Rattus norvegicus: one gene and its partners. The protein of the gene in region 7 interacts with the protein of the main gene of each other region in a biochemical or structural test. Links are inferred from orthologs where the notes say so. Each region holds a gene or a part of one and is shown on either strand. Other genes may lie near its edges. The genes, in order: Mapk12, Tanc1, Rps6ka1, Dgkz, Frmpd4, Slc16a7 and Sntb1.

What was found.
Region 1: the proteins of Sntb1 (region 7) and Mapk12 interact in a test that uses a peptide from one of them, tested with the Homo sapiens proteins (2 studies listed by IntAct, with this or other methods). The link is inferred for Rattus norvegicus from reciprocal best matches to the Homo sapiens genes SNTB1 and MAPK12.
Region 2: the proteins of Sntb1 (region 7) and Tanc1 interact in a test that uses a peptide from one of them, tested with the Homo sapiens proteins (2 studies listed by IntAct, with this or other methods). The link is inferred for Rattus norvegicus from reciprocal best matches to the Homo sapiens genes SNTB1 and TANC1.
Region 3: the proteins of Sntb1 (region 7) and Rps6ka1 interact in a test that uses a peptide from one of them, tested with the Homo sapiens proteins (2 studies listed by BioGRID and IntAct, with this or other methods). The link is inferred for Rattus norvegicus from reciprocal best matches to the Homo sapiens genes SNTB1 and RPS6KA1.
Region 4: the proteins of Sntb1 (region 7) and Dgkz form a complex in vitro, tested with the Homo sapiens proteins (2 studies listed by BioGRID and IntAct, with this or other methods). The link is inferred for Rattus norvegicus from reciprocal best matches to the Homo sapiens genes SNTB1 and DGKZ.
Region 5: the proteins of Sntb1 (region 7) and Frmpd4 interact in a test that uses a peptide from one of them, tested with the Homo sapiens proteins (2 studies listed by IntAct, with this or other methods). The link is inferred for Rattus norvegicus from reciprocal best matches to the Homo sapiens genes SNTB1 and FRMPD4.
Region 6: the proteins of Sntb1 (region 7) and Slc16a7 interact in a test that uses a peptide from one of them, tested with the Homo sapiens proteins (2 studies listed by IntAct, with this or other methods). The link is inferred for Rattus norvegicus from reciprocal best matches to the Homo sapiens genes SNTB1 and SLC16A7.

Annotation. Positions count from the first base shown.
Region 1 is NC_086025.1:122,086,308-122,089,807, reverse strand, and holds part of Mapk12 (mitogen-activated protein kinase 12), read left to right. Parts: intron 1-48; coding exon 49-163; intron 164-1,240; coding exon 1,241-1,312; intron 1,313-1,410; coding exon 1,411-1,490; intron 1,491-1,560; coding exon 1,561-1,639; intron 1,640-1,722; coding exon 1,723-1,896; intron 1,897-3,433; coding exon 3,434-3,500. UniProt on the Homo sapiens protein: Serine/threonine kinase which acts as an essential component of the MAP kinase signal transduction pathway.
Region 2 is NC_086021.1:64,693,037-64,696,536, forward strand, and holds part of Tanc1 (protein TANC1), read left to right. Parts: intron 1-1,233; coding exon 1,234-1,400; intron 1,401-2,877; coding exon 2,878-3,485; intron 3,486-3,500. UniProt on the Homo sapiens protein: May be a scaffold component in the postsynaptic density.
Region 3 is NC_086023.1:151,371,065-151,374,564, reverse strand, and holds part of Rps6ka1 (ribosomal protein S6 kinase alpha-1), read left to right. Parts: intron 1-179; coding exon 180-338; intron 339-3,500. UniProt on the Homo sapiens protein: Serine/threonine-protein kinase that acts downstream of ERK (MAPK1/ERK2 and MAPK3/ERK1) signaling and mediates mitogenic and stress-induced activation of the transcription factors CREB1, ETV1/ER81 and NR4A1/NUR77, regulates translation through RPS6 and EIF4B phosphorylation, and mediates cellular proliferation, survival, and differentiation by modulating mTOR signaling and repressing pro-apoptotic function of BAD and DAPK1.
Region 4 is NC_086021.1:98,389,011-98,393,072, reverse strand, and holds the start of Dgkz (diacylglycerol kinase zeta), read left to right. Parts: upstream 1-1,262; 5' UTR 1,263-1,416; coding exon 1,417-1,592; exon of another isoform or gene 1,593-1,596; intron 1,597-3,370; exon of another isoform or gene 3,371-3,558; coding exon of another isoform or gene 3,559-3,719; intron 3,720-3,730; exon of another isoform or gene 3,731-4,062. UniProt on the Homo sapiens protein: Diacylglycerol kinase that converts diacylglycerol/DAG into phosphatidic acid/phosphatidate/PA and regulates the respective levels of these two bioactive lipids.
Region 5 is NC_086039.1:30,252,958-30,256,960, reverse strand, and holds the start of Frmpd4 (FERM and PDZ domain-containing protein 4), read right to left. Parts: upstream 2,801-4,003; 5' UTR 2,800-2,800; coding exon of another isoform or gene 2,796-2,799; coding exon 2,639-2,795; intron 1-2,638. UniProt on the Homo sapiens protein: Positive regulator of dendritic spine morphogenesis and density. Required for the maintenance of excitatory synaptic transmission. Binds phosphatidylinositol 4,5-bisphosphate.
Region 6 is NC_086025.1:63,037,599-63,041,892, reverse strand, and holds the start of Slc16a7 (monocarboxylate transporter 2), read left to right. Parts: upstream 1-1,494; 5' UTR 1,495-1,532; intron 1,533-4,294. UniProt on the Homo sapiens protein: Proton-coupled monocarboxylate symporter. Catalyzes the rapid transport across the plasma membrane of monocarboxylates such as L-lactate, pyruvate and ketone bodies, acetoacetate, beta-hydroxybutyrate and acetate.
Region 7 is NC_086025.1:89,058,518-89,062,017, reverse strand, and holds part of Sntb1 (beta-1-syntrophin), read left to right. Parts: intron 1-1,709; coding exon 1,710-1,917; intron 1,918-3,500. UniProt on the Homo sapiens protein: Adapter protein that binds to and probably organizes the subcellular localization of a variety of membrane proteins. May link various receptors to the actin cytoskeleton and the dystrophin glycoprotein complex.

The DNA of each region.
Region 1 (3,500 bases), about 33 Mb from region 7:
GTGGTCTATCCTCGGTGTCTAAGTTCCACCTCCCTGATACTTCTTTAGATCCTAGATTTTGGCCTTGCCAGGCAGGCGGACAGTGAGATGACAGGATATGTGGTAACCCGGTGGTATCGGGCACCAGAGGTCATCTTGAATTGGATGCGTTACACACAGACAGGTAAGAGGCTATTCAGAGACTCCAGTGCATGCCACCCACATTTACACATTCGTTTTATTTTTAAATTATTTTTGTAGTATTGGCGATGGAATCCAGTCTTATTCATGCTAGTCAAGTGCCCTGTCATTGAGCTACATCTCAGCCAGCCTGCCTGCCTTCCTTCCTTCCTTCCTTCCTTCCTTCCTTCCTTCCTTCCTTCCTTCCTTCTCTCTCTCCCCTCCTTTCTCCATTTTTATTATTTGTTGAGAAAAATGTGTGTGTACGTATATATATTCAGTTTGGTTGTTTTGAAGACAGGGTCTTACTATGTAGCTCTGGTTATTTTTGGAACTCACTATGTAGACTAGGCTGGCCTTGAACTCACAGAGATCCACTTGGCTCTGCTTCTTCTTGCTTGCTTGCTTGCTTGCTTGCTTGCTTGCTTTCTAGACCTTTTGTAGTCCTGGCTGGCTTGGAACTCACTAGGTAGACCAGGCTGGTCTTGAATCCACAGAGATCGACCTGCTTTTGTCTGTTACAACCTGGGGATTAAAGGCTGTATTACCATGTCCAACCCATTCTTATTTTTTTTTTCTTTTTTTCGGAGCTAGGGACCGAACCCAGGGCCTTGCGCATTCTTAATTTTTATAAGAACCTATTTCATTATTTTATGTGTGTAAGTACTTATGTGCACGTGTCCATCACCTGTGTACTTGGTGCCCACAGACACCAGAAGAAGGCACTGGGTTCTCTAGCACTGGAGTCACAGATGGCCGTGAGCTATCACGTAGGTGCTGAAAACCAAACCAAGGTCTTCTGGAATAGCATCCCTCGCTCTTAACTGATTAGCCACTTCTAGCTCCCTTCATTTCTTGATAGGGAGTCATTTGTAGGCCCTACCTCTGGGAGGTTAGTGAACTGGGGTGGAACTCTGTCACCCTCCTCAATGACAGTCTCTGCTCTGTGCCTATGTACACACCTGCCTCCCTGTCACGTATACTTGTCTCCTATGTGTGGTTTCTTGTGTGTCCCCTTTTCTTGGCCTTCATGAATGTGAATGTGACCCTTGTGTGTGGGGCACCGATGGACGTTTCTCAGTGGACATTTGGTCTGTTGGCTGCATCATGGCAGAGATGATTACTGGAAAGATCCTGTTCAAAGGCAATGACCGTATCCTTCGATGTAGAACATCATTTGACTTTGGCCATGATGTGGGTTCTGGGTGGGCCACCCTCTGCCCCTGCATTGTATTCCTGACCTTGATACAGACCTGGACCAGCTGAAGGAGATCATGAAAGTCACAGGGACACCCCCTCCTGAGTTTGTACAGAAGCTACAGAGTGCTGAGGTCAGTGGGGAGTGGGCAATGGGCTGGACTTGGACTTAGAGGCTGGCCTATCACCCTTTTTCCCTCACAGGCCAAGAACTACATGGAAGGCCTCCCTGAGTTGGAAAAGAAGGATTTTGCTTCTGTCCTGACCAATGCAAGCCCTCAGGGTAGGGCTGGATGGGTGAAGGTTTCAGGCAACTGGGTGAGTATGCCCTCTTTTGTGGCTGGGCCTGATTTGCTCTCCCCACAGCCGTGAATCTCCTGGAAAAGATGCTGGTGTTGGATGCGGAACAGCGGGTGACAGCAGCTGAGGCATTAGCCCACCCATACTTTGAGTCCCTTCGGGACACTGAGGATGAGCCCAAGGCCCAGAAATATGATGACTCCTTTGATGACGTAGACCGCACCCTTGAGGAATGGAAGCGTGAGTATGGGTGACACATAATGTCAGGCTTTGGACCCTGTGCGTCCTGTGTGGATGAGCCTCCGACCCTGGGTTGCAGGTTAGATAAGAAGTTGGGAGGTCAAAGGGCATTGTGGGGCAGTGCAACTCAACCAGGTTGACTTCTGGCTAGGGCAGAACGCAGTGGTGAAGAGTGTCCTTTTCAGGAGCTCTGACGAAGGCTGGCATGTGATGGGTCCCATGCCATCAGACGTGGTGCATCTGTGTGTGCTTCGCGCCCTTGGCTTGCTAATTCCCTGGCCTTTCTCTCCCCAACCCCTACACTGCCCAGTGTCCTCATGTCTAGACCACACTGAGGCCTTCTCTACCACCACCTGTCCTTAGGACTTTCTTCTCACACCTTTAAAATTTATCCTTTCCTCTCCTTAGTCCTTTTCAGAACCTCTCCTGAAACAACTATATCTTTCTTTTTTTTTTTTTTTTTTTGTTTCTTTTTTTCGGAGCTGGGGACCAAACCCAGGGCCTTGCGCTTCCTAAGCAAGCGCTCTGCCACTGAGCCAAATCCCCAACCCCAACTATATCTTTCTTATGTTCTGCCCATGGAAGACAGTATATTCCCACGCAGGCCCAAGGGCCCAACTTTTCCTTCTCACCTCCAGCCCCAGATCCCTCCACATCTATGTGCCGAACCTCCAGGTTCTGGGAAGAGCATCTTCTCTTTGAGAACTGGCCCCAGAGAAGCCTTCTCAGTTTGCCTACTGTTCCGTGGGCTGGAACTAGCCTCTGGTGTCTGCTCCAGACTGGCAGGTCCAACCTGCCAGTAGGGAGTAGGGAGGTCTGGGGACATGCTATCCCCATCCCTTGTCCTGTCTGCCTCAGACCCCAGGCCCTGTTCTTGCACCCTGGAGTGGGAAAGACTGGGTGGGTTGAGGTTCTCTCGTATCATGTTCTAAAAGCCCTGGCAGGTGTTCGTCCCTTAAGTGTTGTGTACTGATGAGCTTGGTTCTGTGTGACGAAACCCTTCTGCTGCTAAACAAAATGACTCCCTTAACCACGTACCACAAGATCCGTTCTGTGGTCTCCATCTACTCGCTGTGGCTGGATGCTGTTGCTTTCACCATAGACCACACAGACACACAACTGAGACCTCGAATAGCTCATAGCTCACACTTTCTTTTCTCGCTTCCTTTTTTTTTAAATACAGACCTACCTCTCTCTCTCTCTCTCTCTCTCTCTCTCTCTCTCTCTCTCTCTCAACACAAACCTTTTACTTTATTTTATTTATTTTTTTTCGGAGCTGGGGACCAAACCCAGGGCCTTGTGCTTGCTAGGCAAGCGCTCTACCACTGAGCTAAATCCCCAACCCCTTATTTTATTTTTTGAACATCAGCCTTCATCACTTGTTTGCCTGGGGAAATCTAGCTTCACAGCAGTCTTTAGTGTTTTTAGGTGGATTGGTCCATTTAGGATTAGATTAAAAAGCCCATGGGGGTGCTGGCTTCTCCCCTTGGTTGGAAGCTGTCTAACTGTATCATTTGCTTCTCTTCCTTTCCTGCAGGTGTTACGTATAAGGAAGTGCTCAGCTTCAAGCCTCCCAGGCAGCTAGGAGCCAGAGTTCCAAAGGA
Region 2 (3,500 bases), on a different chromosome or scaffold from region 7:
CTCATCTTCTGAAGGATCTTTTAGAAGTAGTAAGATGTCAAAACAAAACAGGAAACAGCTTGGGCCTTCAGAGGCAGGGAACTGGGAAGATGAGTCCGTGGGAAGATTAATGCTTGTTGTAAGTAGTTGGTGAGCTTTGATACCCAGACTTCTCCGCTTCTCCAGAGGTTGGGACCCTGCCCTCTGCTTCCCTTTTCCTGGTAGAAAGTCTTCTCCTGGCTGTAAGCTAAAAGGGTGGGCAGGGGGCTGCCCGGAATTACTTCCTTGTTTTCTCCATCACAGTTGTCCAGATTTCGAGGAGGCACATAACAGTGCTCCGTGTAGGTAAAACACACACTGAAGAGCGTCTACACTCCAGGCCGCAGTGAAACCAGTGCATTGTTGGGAATCTTCCAATATGTTCCCCTCCCCCCACAACCCCTAATTAGATGAGTTGAGATCTATATCTAATACCATTTCTAGGAGTTTTCATTTAGTTCCCCCCCCCCCCCCCCCGCCTTCCCCTTCTCAGGTAGGATTGTCAGTGACATCATTGATCCTCCAGGTTTCCATCCCTTACCTTCCTCCTTTTTGAGTTACCCATCTACAAAGCATCTTCTGCTAGAAGATACTGGAAAGAGGGTCTGAAATGGCTGTGTCATGCTCTCTCTGTACCCTGAGCAGGAAGCTGTTGCTAGTAAAACAGAAAACCAGCTTTAGGCTGCTGTGCAAAGGACCTGCCCTGGGCATCCGTGAAGCAGCACTTTCACTGCCCAGAGATTCTGGCCACACAGCCCTTGGTGGTGCCATGGGGAACTCCTGGTCCTCGGATTTCGGAGTCAGGCAGCTGAGGGGTTCCAGCAGTGGGCCAGGTGTCTGCTCCAGGTTTAGGCGGTCTGCATGTCAGTGACTTTGGCTGCAGGTTACCGGGTTTGTGAAGAACTAACTGCATTCTACATGAGCCTGGGATGCAGAACTAACTGTGTAAGACTGAGCTCTGTGCTGATGTCTGTAATGCAGCATGTTTCTGAGAACTGTTTTGTAAGACTTGGTTTTCTTTTGGCTCGGCGCTCTGTTTTCCATTATAAATTTAATAGGAAATATGGTTCGTTGAAAAACGTGTCTCCTGCCATATGTAAACCTTTTTGAGGTTTTGCTAACACTTTTAAGCTGCATGTTAAGATGCACTGGGTGGCGCCATGTGACAGAAACGTATCATTTCTTAATTTGCTTAAAAATCATTTCATCTTTCAGAGCAGAAAATTCCAGAAGAGGAATACATCATCTTGATAGATGGCTTGAATGAAGCCGAATTTCATAAGCCTGATTACGGGGACACGCTGTCTTCATTCATTACCAAAATCATTCCTAAGTTCCCCCCCTGGCTGAAGTTGATCGTGACCGTGAGAGCAGATTTTCAGGTGACAAATACCCCCCATCCCCCGCTCTCTTTCCAAGTTCCCACACCCCACATATACAGAGGCAAGTGCTCCTGGGCTAGTGTTAGAGCCCGTTTGGCTACTGAATTGAAAACCATTATTGGGACTTTGAAAAAAGTGGTTCAGAGAGTCCCATAGGAACAAGAATCGTCACAGTGTCAGCTGAGCAGCCTACTGTCAGTGAAATGGCAGCTGGCTTCTGTAGTGAGGTGTGAACGGGCTGAGATTTCCGACTGAGGTTTCCGGTCAAGCAAAGTACTGGAGCTTCTGGGTTTGGGAGCCATTTGTTATGGGCATGACTTGTTTCATTTCGTGGAGCTGGGTAATCGTGTTCATGATTTTTCCTTACTAAAACCCGCAACTAAACCTACATTTAAATGGCAGCCCACGCTTCTCTCTATGACCTTTGGGGTCATACATTTTCAGTCAGGTCTCCCACACTAAGCACAATCTAGCAGCTGGGTTAAAACTTGGAACTGGTTCCTGTATCCCTGTGCTGGCTTGTTGCTAAGATCAGTTTCCGCGCAGCACGGGAGCGGCCGTCCACTACCCTCTTCCTGCCATTACTACCTTAAAAAAACGGCGTGGGCTTCAGAAGAGTTCGTGAGAAGTTAAATCGTTTCTTGGGGCTAGGACCTTGTCTTGGGAATAAAGGAGCAGGAACGTCAGTGACCCTGTGCACTTCAGATTCAGCCAAGGAGAGATGGGTCGGCGATTAAGAACGTGGGCTGCTCTTTTGTACAACTTGGGTTTGCTTCCTGGCACCCATACGGTGGCTCACAACCACCAGAGCTCTACCTCCCTGGTCCGACACCCTCGTCATGGGTACCAGGCATGCACTTGGTGCACAGACATGCAGACAAAACAAAATACTTTTTTCGAAAAGAATACTTAAAATTCTTTTAAACTGAGAACGTGCTATAGCAGAGCAGGAAGTGATTCCTGCTGCTCGTGGTCTGGGGACACAGGCCGAGCGGGAAGTCTCCTGTTCCCTGGCAGGGTTACACAGCCCTGGTATCTGATGCGGAGAGGGCACGTCTTACCTCAGGGTCTGGCTGCCTTCTTAGACGCGCCGTGTTGGTTCGTGTTTACCCTGGTTCTAGAACCAGCCGCTCAGGGATTATGGGTATCGGGTCACCTGCAGGGTCTCTCTGCCCCTTCTGTTGGTGTGGCCTGGCTGCTGCTGCTGCTGCTGCTGCCTCCTGGGGCCCCTCCCTCTGCTCCCTTGGCCCAGAGTCCTTAGTGGGGGCTTTGGGAGAGATCCTATCTCCCCTCAGGATTTCTTTCACTTAAGCTTTTTATCAGTACCTCATCCTATTACATGTTTGAATACAAAACAGCGAGTCCCTGTAATCCACGGAAATCCTCCTTGAAAGGGGCCGGGCGAGCCTGGTTTAAAGTGGGAGGGAATCTCTTTGGGGGCTAACACCGGGATTGCGTTTTTTTTTTTCTCTCTCAGGAAATCATCAGCACGCTGCCTTTTGTCAAGCTTTCCTTAGACGACTTCCCAGGCAACCAGGACATCCACAGCGACCTGCACGCATACGTCCAGCACAGGGTCCACAGCAGTCAGGACATCCTCAGCAACATCTCCCTGAACGGCAAGGCCGACGCCGCCCTCATCGGCAAAGTCAGCAGCCACCTGGTGCTGCGGAGCCTTGGCTCCTACCTGTACCTCAAGCTCACGCTGGACCTCTTCCAGCGGGGCCACCTGGTCATAAAGAGCGCCAGCTACAAGGTGGTGCCTGTGTCTCTGTCTGAGCTCTATTTGCTGCAGTGCAACATGAAGTTCATGACCCAGTCTGCCTTCGACCGAGCCCTTCCCATTTTGAACGTGGCCCTCGCGTCCCTCCACCCCATGACGGATGAGCAGATATTCCAGGCGATCAACGCCGGCCACATCCAAGGCGAGCAGGGCTGGGAGGACTTTCAGCAGAGGATGGAGGCCCTCTCTTGCTTCCTCATTAAGAGGAGAGACAAAACCCGGATGTTCTGCCACCCGTCCTTCAGAGAGTGGCTGGTGTGGAGAGCGGATGGCGAAAGCACAGCCTTCCTGTGTGAGCCCAGGTAACGCAGATGCTT
Region 3 (3,500 bases), on a different chromosome or scaffold from region 7:
CTGAGGACTCCAGCATTCTCTGACCATCATAGATGAGACCAGCGCCCACTGTCCAGCAAGACGGGAGCCCAAACGGGTGGTGGGCCCTGAAATAAATGTTGGCAGAACCCAGCCTTGAGGCTTGCTTGTCTGGAGAGCTGGTGGGTGAGGTCGCAGCCTGATGACGAGGTCTCTGGCAGGTGTATGACGACAGTAAGCACGTATACCTGGTGACAGAGCTGATGAGGGGCGGGGAGCTGCTGGATAAGATCCTACGGCAGAAATTCTTCTCAGAGCGGGAGGCCAGCTTCGTCCTGTACACCATCAGCAAGACTGTGGAATACTTGCACTCCCAAGGGGTAAGTCTCCGTGAGAGGAGTTGGGGGTGTCCAAGGTCGTGACCTGGGTAGAATGCAAGAACTGGCTGGCTCATGAGGGACCGTCTCCAAATTGCCAGTCAGAGGGGACTCCGGTTGGGTAGGTGGCTGGCTGTAAGAGGAATGGGGAGATGAGGGCTGGCTCAAGACCATTTGTCCAGAACCTACTGTGTGCCACACCTAGTGTGTGCCGCACACCAGGACAAGTGTAAGAGAAAGTTTCCTTGGTTCTTTCAGTGGGATTTTCACCAAATCCTGAATTAGATGTTTGATTGGTTGAATGACCTGTCAGGTTACTGGCACTTGACAGATCAAAAGTCTGAAGGTTGGGGTTGGGGATTTGGCTCAGTGGTAGAGCGCTTACCTAGGAAGCGCAAGGTCCTGGGTTCGGTCCCCAGCCCTTGGGGGGGGGGGGGGAGTCTGAGGGTTGGAGCTGTACAGTCTTTTTCCCAGGATCAGACAACCGGGGAAAATGGTGACCAGAAGTTGCAAGGAGGGGTAGATTTTTGTTTGGAAGATGCAGGGTATTCGAGAGGATGACCCAGGTACTAAGAGAGAGAGAGAGAGAATGGGTGGGGCCAAAGAGCAGGGTATGGCTTTCTTTGTTGATGTTGCTTTGGTGGGTAAGCTGAGTGGGCGGTTCAAGTTCCTCATAGTGGTTCTCTCTTGGCTTGGGTGATGTTTTGGGGAGCGTCTGATCAGACAGTGAAGGGTTAACAGTGATGGCAGTCTGGTGTCCTGAGCCTTTGATCTCAGCACTCAGGAGTCAGAGGTCAGCCTGATCCAACTAGTGACACCTTATTTCCAAAGAGGAAAAAAGTATAGGAAGTTAGACATGGCTTCCCACCTGTAATCACTTGAGAGGCCAAGGGAGGAGGAGCATCACATGTTAGAGTTAGGCCTTGGGTATGTGCCACCACCACGTCACACATCTACAAGTATGTAGTATGTATGTATGTATGTATGTATGTATGTATGTATGTAGTATATGGATGTATGATGGATGTGTGTATGTAGTGTGTGCGTATAGCATGTATGTAGTGTGTATGTGTGTGTAGTGTATGTAGTATGTATGTGTGTAGTGTGTGTGTGTGTGTGTGTGTGTGTGTGTGTGAGCTTGCATTTGATTAGGCGAGTATGCGGGCTGGTATGCATACGTGTGCTTGAGTGTAGAGATCTGAGGTTGACGTTGGATGTTGTCCTTAGTCACGCTACATTGTGTATATACTGAGGCAGGGTCTCGAGTTGTTCCAGGACTGTGCTGACTAGCCAAGCAATTTATCTTCAGATCCATCCCTGTCTCCGCTTCCTGAGTGTTAGGATTACAGGGATCCTGCTGTGTCTGCCCAGTGTTTACATGGCGCCCTCTTTTGCTTTCTATTGCCGTGACAAGGAGAAAAAGGTTTATTTGGATTATACTTCCCACGCCACAGTCCAGTTGAGGGAAATCGAGGCAGGAACTGAAGCAGAGACCACGGAGAAGCATTGCTGACTGATTTGCTCACTGTGGCTTGTTTAGCTTGTGTGTGCGTGCGCACACGTGCGTGCATGAGTGTGTGGGGGGGGTGTTTTCCCTGCAAACATGTCTGTGTACCACATTTAGTTCCCTAGTGCCTGCATTGGCTAGAAGAGGGCATCGGGTCTTATAGAAATAGAATTACAGACTGTCGTGAGTATAACCCAGAACTATGTGCCCAGTAGGCTACACGGAGAAATCCTGTCTCCAAAAAACAAAACAAAAAAATGCTATGTGCGTGTGAGCGAAGGTGCACACTGCCGGCCAGAAGAGGGCAGGTGTGAGCCACCAGTCATGGGGCTCGGCATCAACATTAGTCTTCTGGAAGGGCAGCTAGTGTTCTTAACCATCTCCTCAGGCCTGCCTCAAAACAAACAAATATAAGAAGGGTACCATGCAGCCTGCCTCTGACTAGCCACATTGAACAGGAATTGATGCTTGACCTGGAAATACCTGTAGATGAAGAATTTTTGTTTTTGAGGTAGGGCCTTCTATATCCTAGACCTTTAATTCTTGTACTCAAAAGGCAGAGACAGACAAATCTTTATGAGATCAAGGACAGGCTGATCTACATAGAGAGACTTTGTCTTCAAATGCATGTGACCTCATCCACCTGGGCCCTGTTTCTTTCGTTCTTTTCTTTTTTTTTTTTTTAAGATTTATTTATTATATTTATATAAGTACACTGTAGCTGTCTTCAGACACACCAGAAGAGGGCATCAGATCTCATTACAGATGGTTGTGAGCCACCATGTGGTTCCTGGGACTTGAACTCAGGACCTCTGGAAGAGCAGCCAGTGCTCTTAACCACTGAGTCATCTCTCCAAACCCAAGATAAACAGGAAAAAAAGGTAAAATAGGAATGGAACATACTTAAGGTGAGAGCAAGGTTTGGCCTCTGCATTTGACCTTCCCCTTTCTCACCTGTAAAGCTATAGGTTCCAGTATTTTCACCCATGAGATTATGAAGCAAGATTCCTCTCAGAGGCCTTGAGACTAGAGAGGCCTCGTTAGGTGAGAGCAGCGACAGCTTTGGCAGCCTTTGCAGCTTTTGTTTTTATTAGTTTTGAGATAAAGTCTTAGAATGTAACCTAGGCTAGCCTAAAATTTGCTATGTAGCCCAGGCTAGTTATGAAGTCACCCTGCAGCCTTGCCAGGCCGACCTGAAACTCACAGAGATCCACCTGCCTCAGCCTTCCCAGTGTTGGGATTACAGACATTATAGCTCTGTACCCAGCTAGAAAACTTAGCTATTACAGGCCACTGAACTTCCAGGAATTCTAGTCTTCTTGGATTTAACTGTGTCTATAGTGGAAGAATTCGAAAGGGGGTTTATCATGACCATGTCTAACCATCGGCATCCAGTTATGTGTTTTAGTGACGGGGTGGGAGTAGGGAATCATGATGTCCTCTGCTCATACCTAGGGCCAAAGCCTCTAGTCCCTGAGCTGGTTCTGTAGAACAGTCAGGCTCTTGTTCATACTTACGATTGGGTTCTTTCGCAGGACCGTTTGGTGACATGGTCTGTATTGGGCATTCTGCTCCAAAGCATTAAAGTAGGACTGGGGCTTGGGGAGGCGGCCAGAATCACTTTTCTACTCAGTGGGACATTGTACTTGATCCTGCAT
Region 4 (4,062 bases), on a different chromosome or scaffold from region 7:
CCAGCGGGGCACAGAGGGCTAGTAGCACTGTCAGCAGATGCTGTAGTGTTTGTCTTTGTGAACCGAATTGACACTGTTTCTATCCTCAAGAAATTCAGTCTGGCCGGAGTAACAAACACACACAACTAAAGAACTAATTATAAATGGTTAGAAAGTTTCCAGTTTCTCCCTAAGCTGCCTGAAGACTAAGGAGCAAGCTTGACCCTCACTAGTGTTTCTGAGCCCCTCACGGAAGCCTCAGACTCCATGACAGTTTGGCCTCAGATTTTTTTAGACCCTTCCAGCATCCTCCTGCCTCCCAGTTCTTTAGCCACACTGCCTCATCCGTGCTTGGAACTCATGCTTTACTGTTCTCTGCATCCACAATGCTATCCTCCAGATGGTCACATGGTCTGTTCACTCTCATGATTCATTTGAGTCCATCCTCAAATGTCACCTCCTTGCCAAATCCCCATGACTGCCACCTCCCCCCACCCCATTCATTTCGGCTTCCCCTTTCTCTCTTTTTAAAATAGCACATCTCATTGCCTAACAGGCATGGATTGTCTTTTCTGACTGTCTTCCGCTTCTAGGCTCTAGGTTCTGTGGAGGTACAACTTGCTTCCTCCACCCCTGCTCTAATCTAGTGCCCTAAGCATAAGTTGTACCAACCGGTATTTCCTAAATTGTCTATAACCCCTTTCACCTCTTATTTAATCCACTTACAACCCAATGAGTCCAAACTACAATTTGTTCTATAGATGAGAAAAACTGAGGCTCCCCAAAGCGCTCTGACAGAAGTAGTCACTGATTTATTGTTTATAACCACATCCCTAAAAATGTAAGGTATCTTTAGAAGATTTGTGGCCTGGTCCAGATCACACTGCTGGCAGATGGGAGAAACTGAACATGAGCTGGCGTCTTCTACCCTCTGCAATTTTCAGTACACCACCACCCTGTGTGGCTAGCTCTGTTGAAAGGTATGGTGCATACAAGATGCTAAGAGAGAGCTAGACACCGACAGGACAGGCTCTAGCCAGTCTGTGTACCTGGGACCAGTGTACCACAAGGTATGTCAGGAAGTGAGAGACCATTAGAGGACCAAGAGGTGAAATTCAGAGACTTTATTTGGAAAGTAAAGGCCTGGAGCTGGGGTGCAAATTCCAGCCCAGGCAGGTCTAGTGGGTGCCTGGCAGCTTTTGACTCCTGGAGTTGTCTCTTGATTGCTAGGCTGGGCTTGTCCCCACCTGCCCCTGCACTCTCTTGTAGCTGTGTGCCTTGCCAGTGTTCGGGCCCCAGTCCCAGTCAGCGGAAGGCGCCGAGAAGCCCTGTGGTCCTCGGCTTGAGCCTCCAGCCGGCCTCTAGCAGCAGTCCCCCCCTCAACCCCCCCCCCCCACGTCAGGAAGTGCGGAAAGAGGAAGAGAGTTGCTGGGCAGGATGAGCGCACTGGGGGCTGGCCACAGCGCCGGGGGAGGCTGCGATGTGGCTGCTGCTGTGGGCCCCGCGAAGGTGCTGGGGACGAAAGAAGCCGAGCTGCCAGGGGCACTGAGGCAGATGTGGCGCTCCCGCTCCTGGGACGTGCCACAGATCCCAGCTGAGGTTCCCCAGACACAGTAGGTACAAGGGTGGCCTGGGATGGGCACAGAAACCTCATCCTTCTATGAACTTTCTATATAGTGTGGAAGAATGGCAGAAATGGGTTCACCCATCCATTTCCCAGTTATTCCATGGAGGCACAATCTAGAGAAGTTTGGAGGTAGCGCTGATGCTTCCAGGTTTGGGGTAATTTGATAGAAGGCTTCGCTCTGAGATTGAATTTGAGAGAGAACGGCAGGGGTTGTCAGGAGAAGAGCCCTCCCAGGACTGTAGTACACAATGTGGGAGTTTTCTCAAATCCACTTCAAGGACTGTGTAAACTCAATGGCATCTTCGAACTACCCCCTTCCCCTGCCCCCAGCTTTTCCCACTGAACTTGGTGATAACCACCCGATGACTTCCTCAAAGAAAACATGTGTACCCCCAGGAAGCCAGGGTCAGGCCCTCTTCCTATCCAGCTTGGTCCCCATTGCTGACTGGACATCTGAAGCCAGCTTCTCCAGGCCTTCTAGAAACTCAGTGTGTAAGAGAAAGTGCTGGGCTTCGGGGTGTTGACTGTTGCTTAGAACCACAGGCTTGTCCCTGGGTCACAGCCCTTTAGCTTTGACTATTTGTGGCAGGCAAGGCCTGGAAAACGGGCTGCCACAGCCCCAAAGGAAAGGGTGAGATTGAAGGCAACACAGGATGTGGTTTTCTAGAACCGAGGGCTAACTGAAACAGTAGGCATCAGGGTGGCATGATCTGGGGAGGAGGTGACCAGGGTCACTGACTTCCAGGTCTTCCTGGCACAGTCCTGCAGCATCTAGAGACCACCTGAGTTGTGGATTCCCAAATGTATGTGGATGGTATGTCACCTGGGTGACTTCTTGTTCCAAACTGGTCTCCCTTCTGGAGGAGAACGTTTGTCAAACATGAAGAATATTTCTGGATGTGTATGTGAAATATGAGGTCTTTGTAACCACTGCCCTCAGGGATATCTATGTGTAGGAGATATTGTCTTCTATATGGGTGTATATGTGAATGAGTGTGTAGGTTGTAACTGTTGTCCTTGTGTGTATTTGAATGTGTAGGAAGTACCATAGCTCATCCTTACAGCATAAGGATTCAAGGGAACATTGAACATTGTGCTGGGAAAATTTCCCTATGTTAGGAGTGGGTGAAGGGTTGAAGCCATTGTGAATAGCTGTAGAAGGATGACTGTGTCAGTGGAACATTGAAGTTCTTTGTGATTGTGTGAAGGTAATTGAATGGCTTTGGTGTCCTGAATGTGAGAGAAAAGTGTGAGTTTGATGACTGAGGATAATTCCATGTGAGGGGCGTGCCTGCTGTGTAGGGAGAACGCTGTGTGACTTTTGTCTGTGGGTGCACTTATGGATAGCCAAGGGGGTAAGGGTAGAGAGCGCATGAGTGGCTGAGTGGGCGCAAGAGAGCAATATATAACTTGTGGATGCGGGAGAAGTGGTGACAGCCGCCCTCGCGTGTTTGTACTTTGATCGTGTAGGTTGTTTGGTGGAGGAGGACATGGGGGGGGGGGGGAATCATACATCTGGAAACAGCTTGAGCGGCTCGGGCCAGGAAGTCAGTCCCTTACAGGCAGGCTGGCCACGGAGCTGGAGGTGGTGCCCTCGTAAGTCCCGCCCCCAGGCAGCCTCGACGGGCTTGCGACAAGGTTTGAGACCGGCAGAGGGCGCCGTGGGGCGAGTGCGGCTGTGCGGCCGAGGGGGCGTGCTCGGCGGCGGGCGGGCAGGCAGAGGCCCGGCCAGCTATGCGGGGTCCTGCGGCCGCGGCTGTCGGCACTTCCTGGAGCGGAGGCTGCTTCCCCGGCACCTGGGAGTGGGTCGCGGGGACGCGCAGCACAGGGCGGGCGGAGCGCGCGCTCGCCATGAGCTTGGCGGGCGGTGCGGAGCCGGCGTGCTGAGCTCCGGCCGCCGGCCCGGCATGGGCGTCTCCCGCGAGCCCGCTGCCGGCCGGGGCTAGGGCCGGATGGAGCCGCGGGACCCCAGCCCCGAGGCCCGGAGCAGCGACTCGGAGTCGGCCTCCGCCTCGTCCAGCGGCTCCGAGCGCGACGCGGATCCGGAGCCGGACAAGGCTCCGCGGCGCTTAACCAAGAGGCGCTTCCCGGGGCTGCGGCTCTTTGGGCACAGGTGAGCCGGGCGGCGGCGGGACAGGCTGTCCCAGCGTGGGTATCCAAGCGCCAGGCACAGGCGGTCCGGGTGGTGCGCGCGCTGGCACCGGCTGGTAGTGCGCTTCGTCCTTAGTGCCTTGACAGGGTCAGCTCCTAACCCTCCTGCAGGGAGACAGAGTCAGCCCAACTCCTTGGCACCAGCAGTCAGGGACCCTACGACTGGTCACCACTGCTCTTTTGACAAGTCTCCCTGAGCCTCTAGTTACCAGCGTGGTGGGGGCGGTCATACAACCCTTCGTGCTTCTCTGGAACCTATTTGCCAACTACCACTGCTTGGCGTCTGCTGATTGTGGTCACTGTGA
Region 5 (4,003 bases), on a different chromosome or scaffold from region 7:
ACTTTGAAATGGCTACGAGGGATATGAGCTCAACTCCTCTTGTCTCTATGGCATACACTTTACTCATTGAGCCATTTCCCTATCCCCCCAGAATCTATCTTATTATGAGTAGGATCTTACTATTGAGTTTTTTACTGATTTGCAAAATCTTCAGAGTAATGACAGAGGAGATTAGTATCCTTTGTTTATTAAAATAAAGACATAAACAAACATAATAAATAAATAACAAAAATCAATTGTTTCTGGAAAAGTAGAGTAAGCCTATTTTGTTGATATAGAGACAGTTGTATATCCCCATATGGGTAATTGAGATACAGTGTACTGTCATATTATAGCCTTTAAGAGATGTGATGTCACCTCACCTGATACCTGGCAGCCTCCCACATCCCAAGTCTCTAGGACTTTATAGAGTATCCCCCCAGCCCTCACTCCTGGCAGCTGTATATTTTCATTTATTCTCTTGGCCCTCTGGAATTTTCTCCTGTTTCTTCCATACATAAAACTGCCCCCCCATTTCCTCTCTCTTTCCCCTCTCCCACCCAGGTCCCTCCCTCCCTCTGCCTTCCATGATTATTTTGTTCCCACTTCAAAGTGGAATTGAAGCACCCTCACTTGGGTCTTCCTTCTTGTTTCACTTCTTAGGAGTCTGTGAGTTGTATCATGGGTATCTGTACTTTTTGGCTAATATCCACTTATTAGTACACATCATGCCTGTCCTTTTTGGTGTGTGTTACCTCACTCCAGATATTTTTAGTTCCATTGATTTGCCTGCAAACTTCATGGTCTTAGCTGAATGCCTAACAGTGGGGCGATGGAACCCGAAGAGACCACATCCAGCAGCTACACAGGGTCCCTAGCGGAGGAATGAGGACACCAACCCACCTTCAAAATTTTTGACCCAAAATTGTTCTTGTCTAAAAGAAATGCAGGGATAGAAATGGAGCAGAGCCTGAAGGAATGGCTAATCAGTGAGAAGCCCACCTTGGGATCCATCCCGTTGATGGGTACCAAACCCTGACACAATTACTGATGCTTTATTGTGCTTGCAGACAAGAGCCTAGCATGGTTGTCTTCTGAGAGGCTCTATCACTAGCTGATTGAGGTAAAGGCAGATACTTACACCTAGGCATGGGACTGAGATTGGGGACCCTTATGAAAGAGTTAGGGGAAGGATTAAAGGAGCTGAAGGGGATGGCAACCCCAAAGGATGACCAACAATATCAACTATCATGGACCCCTGGGAGCTCCCAAAACTAAGCCACCAACCAAAGAGCATATTCGGGTTAGTTGGGGCCCCCTGGCACCTATGTAGCAGAGGACTGCTCCATCTTGCCTCAGTGGAAAGGATGTGCCCAATACTGTAGAGACTTAATGCCCCGTAGAAAGGGAATGCTGAGGAGGTACTCTCTTAGAAGAAAACGGGAAGGGGGATGGGATGAAGAACTCTGGGAGGGGGACTGGGAGAAGAGGCAAAAATATAAAGCCTGTAATGATAAGGGAGGGAGGGAGGAAGACAGAGAGAGGGGGGAGGGGGAGAGGGAGAAGGAAAAGGGAGAGGGAGAGAGAGGGAAGGGAAAGGGAGAGGGAGAGGGAGAGGGAGAGGGAGAGGGAGAGGGAGAGGGAGAGGGAGAGGGAGAGGGAGAGGGAGAGGGAGAGGGAGAGGGAGAGGGAGAGGGAGAGGGAGAGGGAGAGGGAGAGGGAGAGGGAGAGGGAGAGGGAGAGGGAGAGGGAGAGGTGGTGTGTACCAGTTCACATCTGTTGTGTAATAGATGATTCCAGCAATTGTTTCTTTTCCCATTTGTGGGTTGTTAGCATGATTCAGGCCTGGCTTATCTGGACAGATCTGATTCAAATTACAGATTGGGTTAAACCGAGGTTCAGGCTTCAGGCTAACTGAATGTTTCCCCAGGAGTTTATTGTGGGGTTGAGGCTGTAGGAATAACAGAATCCCTGGGAAAACATACCTTCTTTCAGCCACAAGAGAGTTCAACAGTACACATGCATTCCAACCTTCTGCTTGGATTGTATTTACCAATGTGTCATTGGCTAAAGTCATTTACTTGATCCATGCCAACAACAATGAGGCATAGAAATTGCCTGCCTTTAGTGAGATGGAAAGGATGTGTATACTTGTAATTCAACTGTCCTGGGACTAAATACCACACTGGTTTCTATGAGGTACTTACATCCATTAGAGTGCCTGCTTATCATTGTTTGCATTTCTCCATTCAGAGGTGATACAATGGGAACAGTAATACTATCAGTGTTTTTCCTGACCCAAGGGATATGATGGATTTGGCAGTTTAAAGTCTTCTTGGAAATCAGGCATGGGCATGTAGGCAGTAAGATTGCCATGAGCTTTATGCTAGGTGGGGTTACAGGTATAGCACCAGGCATACAGTGTAACAGAGCAAAGCTCTGTCTCCAAAATACCCCAATATATACATACAAACATACATGTTCTTAAATATGTAAAATAAAGCTCACTTCACTGGCACGTTTCTGTCTTTTTTGTCAATCTATTGATAAAGTGTTACTTCACTTCACAGCTTGACCTCACAGAACTGAATTGAAGTCACTCTCACTGGGTGTGACAAGTAGTCTTATGAAACAACAAAGAGTGTCTTTGGATCCTTACCTGGTGTTACCGATCGAACGACCACTGGCTTTTCACTCCCTGCCACGAACCCAAAGCCCAGCACAGGGTCCCTCCTCATCTCCACCTTCCGTGGAGCTGGGGGAATGATTTGGCAGCTGTCAAACCGAGGGTCATCAAATGGGATTGCCTGTGTCATGTGACTGTGGAGAAAAATACAGACAAGAGAAAAGAGGTATCAATGTGGCAGTTAGGCATCGGCCTTGAAATGAAACCCATTGTCACCGAGAGAGAGAGAGTAGGAAAGATATAGAGACTCATGGTCCTCTTTTATGATCTATATATTGCTCCTTGAGAACTCTGTAATACCCACATTAGGGCTTTGCACTGACTGTTCATACAATGTGGAATGCTTGTCCTACAGATATTTGCAGGCTGCACTGTTGCCTCTGTCAAACTTCTCTTAACATATAGCCATCTTATAAAAGACTACCTTGGAATAGTATTTTAATGTTTTTTAAACCTATTTACCCTTTTTTATTTTCTTTCTCTACCAAGGTACTACTTACCTACAAATGTACTACAGAAGCCATTTATTTTTATGATGATTTTTTTATTTTTACTGTTTTGCTTTCGACAAAAATGTACATACAGCCTTTAAAGGATAAAGTACCTAGTTGTTATGTGCATAGAGCTGGGAGTAGAACCCGGGACCTCATGTATGCTATGTACCTGTTCTGCCATTCAGCTACAGACCTAGTGTTACAAACTTAATTATGTTCAATGATATATTTTCTGTACTTAGAACTGAGTGTGACTGACAGCATGTTTTCAAAAGTTAATTGAATTGATAACCAGGGAGAAAAAGTTACTTCTTTGTATAACACTATCAAGTCTTACCTGAAATGCTGACCCATGGTCTCATAAGGTAATGGACATTCCTTAGGAAGTATATATGGTACTCGAGCTTAGCAAAGTTAAAATAACTTTTAACTTATTTAATAATAAGTTAAAACATGGATGGTTTTAGTGCTGATGCACTATGCTGATACCAAATAACATTCTCCATTTCAAAAGGAACTAAGTATTTAGGTTTTGACATTTACTTTGAAAAAAATGATTTGAATGATTTAAATGAACTTTCTCATTAACTGAAGTCTTAGTAATAAATCAAGCTCGAGTATTATATGACATTTGGGAAGTATAATTCTCTTCAGTGGTGTAGCCCTTGATTATTTGCCCTTGTTCTAATAAATAACTTTCTGCCCACACTTGTGCATGAAAGTCTAAGTAAACTCAGTGAAAGAAGACATGAAAATAGAAGGGGGATCCGTTAAGAAAAATGGTTCTAATAAGAGAGGGAGAGGGATAAAAGGAGAGGGATAGGGGATAAAAAGGAGTAAGATT
Region 6 (4,294 bases), about 26 Mb from region 7:
TACATTGGGAAAAGGAATTGCCTTATTTGGTCAAAAAACATCAGAGAGAATGTCTAGAAAAGAATTGTCTTTGTTGCTTGGTCCTTATGATTATTACACACAGAATTGAAATCTTGGAGAAACATGTTTTGCAACAGGCTGGCACCTGGTACTCAGTTCTAGAGAACTGAATTCTTTCCCTCTTTGGAAACCATGAACCTCATCTTAGTTTCTTTGCCTGTTACTGTGATAAAATACTCTGACCAAGGAAACTTCAAGTTTTATTCTAGTTTGTAATCCAGGTTATTGTCCCTCATGGGAGGGGAGTTACTGAAGTAGGAACCTGAGGTCACATCCTGTCTGTCCCCAGTAAGAGGCAGAGAGGGAGCAATGCAGGCATCTTGGCCCTGCACTCGCTTTCCCCACAACAAGGATGACCCCAACCTATGTTAAGACTGAGCTTCCTACACCGGTGAATGTAATCAGGAAAATCCCTATAGGCTTGCCCTGGTGCCCATCTCTCAGGTAAGTTCAGGAATCACGTCCACAATTAGCACTTAAGTCGCCCCCCGCCTCCACCACCATGGAACTTAGAGACATTCTGCTGTTTAGTACAGAGAAATAGGGACCTTAGATCCTTTAGAAATTAGAGATGGAAGCCAGGGACCATACATAAGTAACTGAAACTCCACACATCAATATGCCCATACTCAAAATATTCACACGGTGCCTGTCTTATGTAGTTCGAAGAATGGGGTAATGGATGAGAATTTGTTTGGTGAAATACCTCCTAAGGGCTGCAGAGATGGCTGTCAGTGTCTGCTGTACGTGTCCACAGCACCGTGTAAAATTCCAAGAGTGACAACAAGCTACCGTTACCATAACACTGAGGAGGTGGAGCCCGAAAGGTGCAGAGGCTCCGTGGCTGCCCAGGTCTAGCGGAATCCATGAGCTTCCCGGTCAGCGAGAGGCCATTTCTCAATTTAAGACAAAGATGAAGAGCGATTCAGGATAGCAACCCCAAGTCCACTTCAGGCAACCAAACGAAGGTCTGTGCCCTTGACCTCTTCGTTACTATTCATAATTCTGTCTTCTCCAGTCTCAGATTCTGCTAAGGTTCATAGACACAGCAACGCTCATTGTACAGGGATTTTTACTGCGCCTTCCAGACGCGGTATCAAATTACACGCTGGGGAAAATACCCTTGAAAGCCTGCCCACTTCAGCTACAGAGAAGGAAAATCGGAAGGTTAAACGTAGCAATTCTGAGTGCCAGACACGTCACCTTTTTGACCCTGGCTATAATTTAAGCCCAGTTTACGTTACACCGTGAGAAGTCTGAACTAATTGTGCATGTCAAAGCAAGTTCTTCAAGAAGAGAGAGCAAACTACCTTTCCCCTATTTGAGAGGAAAGAAGGGAGGGAAAGTGGAGCCTCGGCCTCTGGAGAGCTGTGTGCAAGTTTGCTTCTGGCTAAAAGTTAATGATCAATCGCTGTGCTCTCAGCTCCGAGTCCCCAACAAGTGGCTAATGCGGCTTTTCTCTCGCTCTCCAGGTAACATTAAATCTCTAAAACTGTGCTCACCTTGGCTCTGGTAGACTATAGGCATGGCTTGCTTCATTCTTGTTATTCAATTTCATGTTTTAAGTTTATAAAGTACAGTTAAAACTCATAAATGTTGCCTTGTGGAATAGTACTTAATTTCTGGAGTGGACCGAGTTAAGGCTGGCTGATGAGACATTGTGTGCTTGCAGTTGCAAAGAGAATTTTAAAATGTTCTATGAAATTTGCTATTGTGGTTCTTAGCCCCCATGGCTGAAAGATGAATTAATCCTAATTATCTCAAAGAATACCTCACATCATGTAGCCTGCCAAATTTTGATTTGGAGGAATGGTTTTAAATCATGGGTACCACTTTATTTTGAAAAATAAGAGTAGTTTTTTACTCATTAAATTTTTATTTAATTTGTACTTTATGTTATCTAACAGTAAAGTGTCCTTATTTCTTAGATGAGTTGTTACATCTTATAAATATGTGTGCTTGGCTGGAAAGTCCTAAAATAAACTACATTATTTTTGGTATGCAAGCTAGGTAAGTTGGTATGGTGGAAGATAGGTGGTTATGGTGTAGTTGTTTTTCGTGTGGTACCATTGAGAAGTGGTAGTGTAACTAAAGACCTTGGTCATCCAAGTTTCCTGTGTAAAGCCACCTCCTGAAGATATCCGTATATACATTGTACATCTTTAGAACTGGTTATTCTGCATCAGTGTTTATCACTAAGGACTCATTGCTCAGTCACAGGAGCCCGTATGAGGCAGACTCAGAGAAAGTCTCTGTTCCTTTCAGAAGTGTCTGCCCACTGGTGTCTTTATTCAACAGAATTCCAAGGCCAAGGAACTTGTGCTGGTGGGATGTAGACTAAAACCACATGAGCTTCCAATTGCGTCAGCAGCCCGACACTTCCGCGATGCTCCGTATGTGTTTCCATTCACAGTTGCCTTCTCCACAGCTGAAATTAAACATCAGACAATGATTGATGATTTTGCAATTGAAATCTAGAGCTGGTGGGAACACAGAGGCACATCCATTTCATACACAAGGAACAGTGTCCAGGGAGGGGACTCGGCAGCATAATGGGCACGGCTGGGAGTAGAACAAGACCTCTGCTCTTGGGTGACGAGTAGGGCTGGTGGTGTGCTACTCTACGCTCTCGCTGGTTTATTCCCTAAACAATCTCTGCTTTGGAGCAGAGCTGGCAAACACCCACAGCTCAAGTGAGCTCAAGTGCAAGGGGCCAGTGATGGTTTCTGGTTCACCTCTGGCATTGAGTCTGTTTATCAGCTGGACTTGTAAAACCTGATCCTGTGCGTTGCTGTATTTGCTTAGGTTTATTTAAGGTCTCCTTACAGGAGGAATTTGTCAAAGTTAGGGATAAGAATGTCGCCACTTATTTGGGTGCACATCAAGTCAATGTTGAGACGTCTATAATTCATAAGCTCTGAGGTGACTGAAGTTTTAAAGAGTTTTTTTTAAAAGAAAGTTTTAAGGAAATTTAAGATTATTGAAGTCTTATTATTAAAAGTCAAAGTATATAGTAATGTAAAAATGCTCATATGAAGTTTGAAATGATCCACGTGTAGTGCGAAAACAGAGCAATCATTTGCCGTGACACTGTAAAACATTTTAGATTCTAACAGTTAAGACTGTGTGTGTGTGTGTGTGTGTGTGTGTGTGTGTGTGTGTGTGTGTGTTCATATCTCTACGTCTGTGTCTGGGTGTGTCTGCCCATCACAAATTTGTATGTAGTGTGGAATGTTTGCAGCATGCATGTATGTGTGCACATGTATACTCATGCTGATGTGTGCAGAGACAAGACCAGAGTTTGAGGGTGTTTTCTTTCTTGATTTCACCTGCCTTTATGTCCTTAGAAGAAACACAGTCTCTCACTGAACAGTAAGTTTGCCATTTTGTCTTGGCCAGCTGGCCAGTGATCCCTTGGGGTCCTCCTCCTGGCTTCACCTTTCCGATAACAAGGTTGCAAGCACACAGCTATACCAGGTTTCAAACATGAATGGCAGCGATTTGATCTCAGGTCTTTATGACTACAGATCAAGGACTCTTACCCACTGAACCGTCCCTGAAGCCTGAAGTTTGTTGTTGTTGTCATTGTTTTGTGTTGGATATGTGCAGATTTTTTATAGTTCTAGTATATTCTTCCCTTGGCACATAACAAGTAGTTTAAACACCATGTTTTACATTTGCTTTTCAGCTCACAAGCCCAAGTTTGCAAATCGAGCTACCACCAAAAAGCTTATCTCTGATTCTTTATTCCATTATTAGACACAGACTACCTGAATTATACACTGTAGAAGTTTGTCAGGTTCTGATAGATTTAGTAACTCAGAAATCATAAGACTTCAGATTCTCTTTTTTATTTCTTGGGGGAAAAAAAGCAAGCGGGTTCAAGACCAGGAAGGATATTTAATGTCCACTGGCTTTGAAGATCATGGGTGAGTCACATGACCAGTGACAGTCACCATTACATGTGAGTTCTAAGAGGGGCCTGTAGCCCTTGACCTACTTGGTACAGTGTGCCAAGCCTGCCAGTTCGAAGAGCAATGGGCCTGGTATGGGATGTATCCTCCTCAGCATTCCTAGCTTTGCCCTGACAAAGCCCCATCACGTGGGTGGCTTAGACCAACTGAAAATTAGTCTCATTCCATTTTAGAGCCTGGAAGTGTGAAATAAGGCGTAGGCTGGGCTGCGTTTTCTTGCCTCTTCCGGTCCTTGCCTGACCCAGGTTCTGCTTCATTTG
Region 7 (3,500 bases):
CTGGTCTTGGCAGATTTTCTTAGCCGTGGAGAGAGATTACACAACCCTTTTCTTGTATCCTTCACTCTAAAGCCAGAACCATGTTGCCAAAGCTGCCAAGTTCGGCTGCTTGGTGGAACTGGAACTTGGCCCACTCTTTCAATTACATTCACATCAGCTCGCTATCTTTGATGGTTTCCTTCACTGCTTAAGCTTTTCCTTAATTCCTTCTTACAAGTTGAATCTTAGCTGGGTGAGGCCTTGCCCTGAAATTATAGCTCCCTTTATTCCATTTAGTATTAGGCTATACCTTAAACTTTTACTTCTTTGAGCATTGAACTTAGTTCCATTACACTTCCTCGTGCTTCTTTTCACTTTACATTTTGTATTTCTTTTTGTCCAGCTTGCTCCTTTTCATTATAGGTCTGCATAATCCTGACCACTAAGAATCAAGCAACACAGTTAATACTAGACTGTCTTGAAATCTCCTCTGCCAGTGTTATTAGCCCAAAACTTTCCTTTCTTAGCCACAGGCAGAATTTGGGGCAATAGCAGAGAGTATCCACATTGCCAGAAATATTGTAAGAATGGTCTCTAGGTCACTTAATATTCTTTCCCTCTGAAACCTGTTATCAGAGCCATCATAATTTACATTGGTCTCAGAACCCCTGTCTTTCATGCTCCTACTAGTATGACCTGTTAAACCCCACTCAAAATGTGCAGCTGCTTCTGTAATCCAAAGTCCCAAAGTCTACATTCTGCCAAGGAGCAGCACCCTTATGCCTGGCAGTAGTACCCCAGCCCTTCTCTGGCTTTTGAGACCTCAAAGCTTCACAGCCCTTCCCACCACCTAGTAACATACTTCCTTCTCATCCTTCTAATCCTCCCAAAGAACTCCAGAACCTGGTAACTTAACAATCAATTATAAGAGCCTATGGGGACCATTCAAATTCAAACCACCTCAGAGCCTGTCTAAAATATCCCACTATTAAGATAAACAGATCCTTTCAACTACACCTTGAGTGGTCCAATTTCAACTCTGGCATAAGCTTTGATGTTCAGTATTAACTGTGAGATGTGTATATGTGATTTAGTCATACTTAAGTGTACCACAGATGAGGTTCCTAAAGAATAAAGGTTTGACAACTAGAGAACAGTGGTACACACATACAATCCTAGCACCTGAAAGGCAAGAACAGAAGGCAGAATTAATAGTTAAAGATCTTCCTCAGTTACATGGAATTTGGGGGTCAGTATGAGCTACATGAGACCCTGTCTCAAAAAAAAAAAAAAGAATGAAAATCAAAGAATATAAGATTTGACCATTTACTATTTTAAAATATCTTGACTAATAGTGGGAAATGGGGTTAAGAACATGGCCAGTTACTGAGGTCTGCTTCCTACCACAGTAGCAATGGTGTTGGGGAAATACTAAAATCCTCTGTGCAACTGAATTAATATGATCTCAGAATCTGCTGCATCACAGGAAAATGAGATATCCTTATTTTGGGGGAGTTGGCGTTTGTGATGATGCTGTTATGCTGTGTTCCAAAGGCACAAACCAGAGCCTGGGCAGCTGATGATTTGAATTAATGATCCCATGAATGATGGAATAGTGGAACCATAAATGTAAATGTCCAGAGTAAACATGGTATTCACCTTAGAAAGGTTGGCTGTGGTGAAGCAAGGACTACCAGGTCATCCTGCAACTCCTCTGTTTGCCTCCCTAGGCAGCTTGAAATTCACTCGCCAGATGCTAAGCACACAGTGGTCCTGAGGAGTAAGGACTCTGCCACTGCCCAAGCCTGGTTCAGTGCTATCCATTCCAACGTTGGTGACTTGCTGGTCCGTGTGGTTGCTGACATCAGGGAGCAGCTGGGGAAGACAGGTATTGCTGGCAGTCGTGAGATCAGGCATCTTGGCTGGCTTGCAGAAAAGGTAAGAGAAAGTCTCCTCTGTCAATTGCCCACAAGTTCCTCCACTGAAATTCAATCATTTTATAGGCTGCTTCTCTCCTTACGGGTAATTGGATTTCTTGTCTATCGCAGAAGATCTCATAGCATTGCAGTATGTGGGGAATTTGTGTTAATCAACATTCATTTCCTAGCATACTTCAAATATGTGGCAAAGTACATATGGTCCCTAACTGCTCCATGGACGAATTAGAAGGCAAATGAATAGTTTGATTTCTGTAGTATTCTCTAGTACAGCATCTAGGAGAAAGGGAGTTGAAATGGTTTGTCAGAATGAGTTTTAATGACACCTTTCCTCAAACAAGGCCACACCTCCTAATAGTGCCATTCCCTGTGGTCCTATGGGCTTATTCAAACCACCATGCCGGTTATGTGCCCAAGCAAGTAACTGCTCAATGGACAAATGAGAAGGCTAATGAATAGTTTGATTTCTGTGATGTGCTCTGGTACAGCATCTAGGAGATGGATGCTATGGATTTTAATGAACTTGCTTTTATTTTATTTAAATAAATCTGTTAGGAATTATATGTTTATAAATGACAGTGATGATATTAATAATGAGGATTTATTGGGCAACTACTTTGTGCTGATTCATTGTCACCTTATCTATTCCTTGTACTTTTTTTTGAAATTGTATTTTTATTGGTTATTTTATTTACTTACATTTCAAATGTTATCCCCCTTCCCAGTTTTCCCTCCTCAAACCCCCATTCCTTCCCCCTCCCCCTGCTTCCATGAGGGTACTCTTCCAAAAATGTCATTCTTAATGAGCATCTATTTTGTATGGGATACAGGGTGAGGCAAGAGTGTAAACAAACTAGATCAGTAAGCAGTTAAAACTTAGTTATTAGAGTATATTTCTCATTCATAATCATGGGTTTCATAATGGCATATATATTCATATATATTATTTCACTCCTTGATTCCTTCCCCCTTCGGCCAGTCTTCTTCCTTTTCCTAGATTGTCCCTATTCCTATTTTTACATGTGTGTATAAGAAGTCATGCATATGTTTGACAAAAGGGACAAGATGAAAATCTAACACAGGGTTGCAACTGCAGAAGCTTAAATTTATGCTGTAAATATAATTCATAAAGTCTTAGCTTAGACATTTTAACAAATCAGGCAACTAAATAAAGATCTCTGAACCAAAGATGGGCTAATGTGGAATATATCACTCTTTGGCTTTTATAAAAATGATGGATTAAAAAAATAGTTCTTTTACATAATGATGGTAGTGGTGGAGGCAGTGATGGGGGTGGTGGTGGTGGTGGTGGTAATGGGGGGGGAGTGGTGGTGGTAGTGGTGGTGAAGACACAACTGTGTCTCATGGAAGACTGCTGCCATGGAAAAGTTTATATATAACATTAAGTTATATGTATTAAAGTTTGTATATAACATTAAGACTGTTATTCAGATTTTCTTTCCCAAAGCATGTTCTATGTTGGGGATAGTAAGGCTCAAAGGAGCCTTGGCCATTGTTCTTATGTCTGCTTGCTATCCCTTGACCCTGCAGTGCTTCTAGTGCTTCTGAACACCGGGTTTTGAG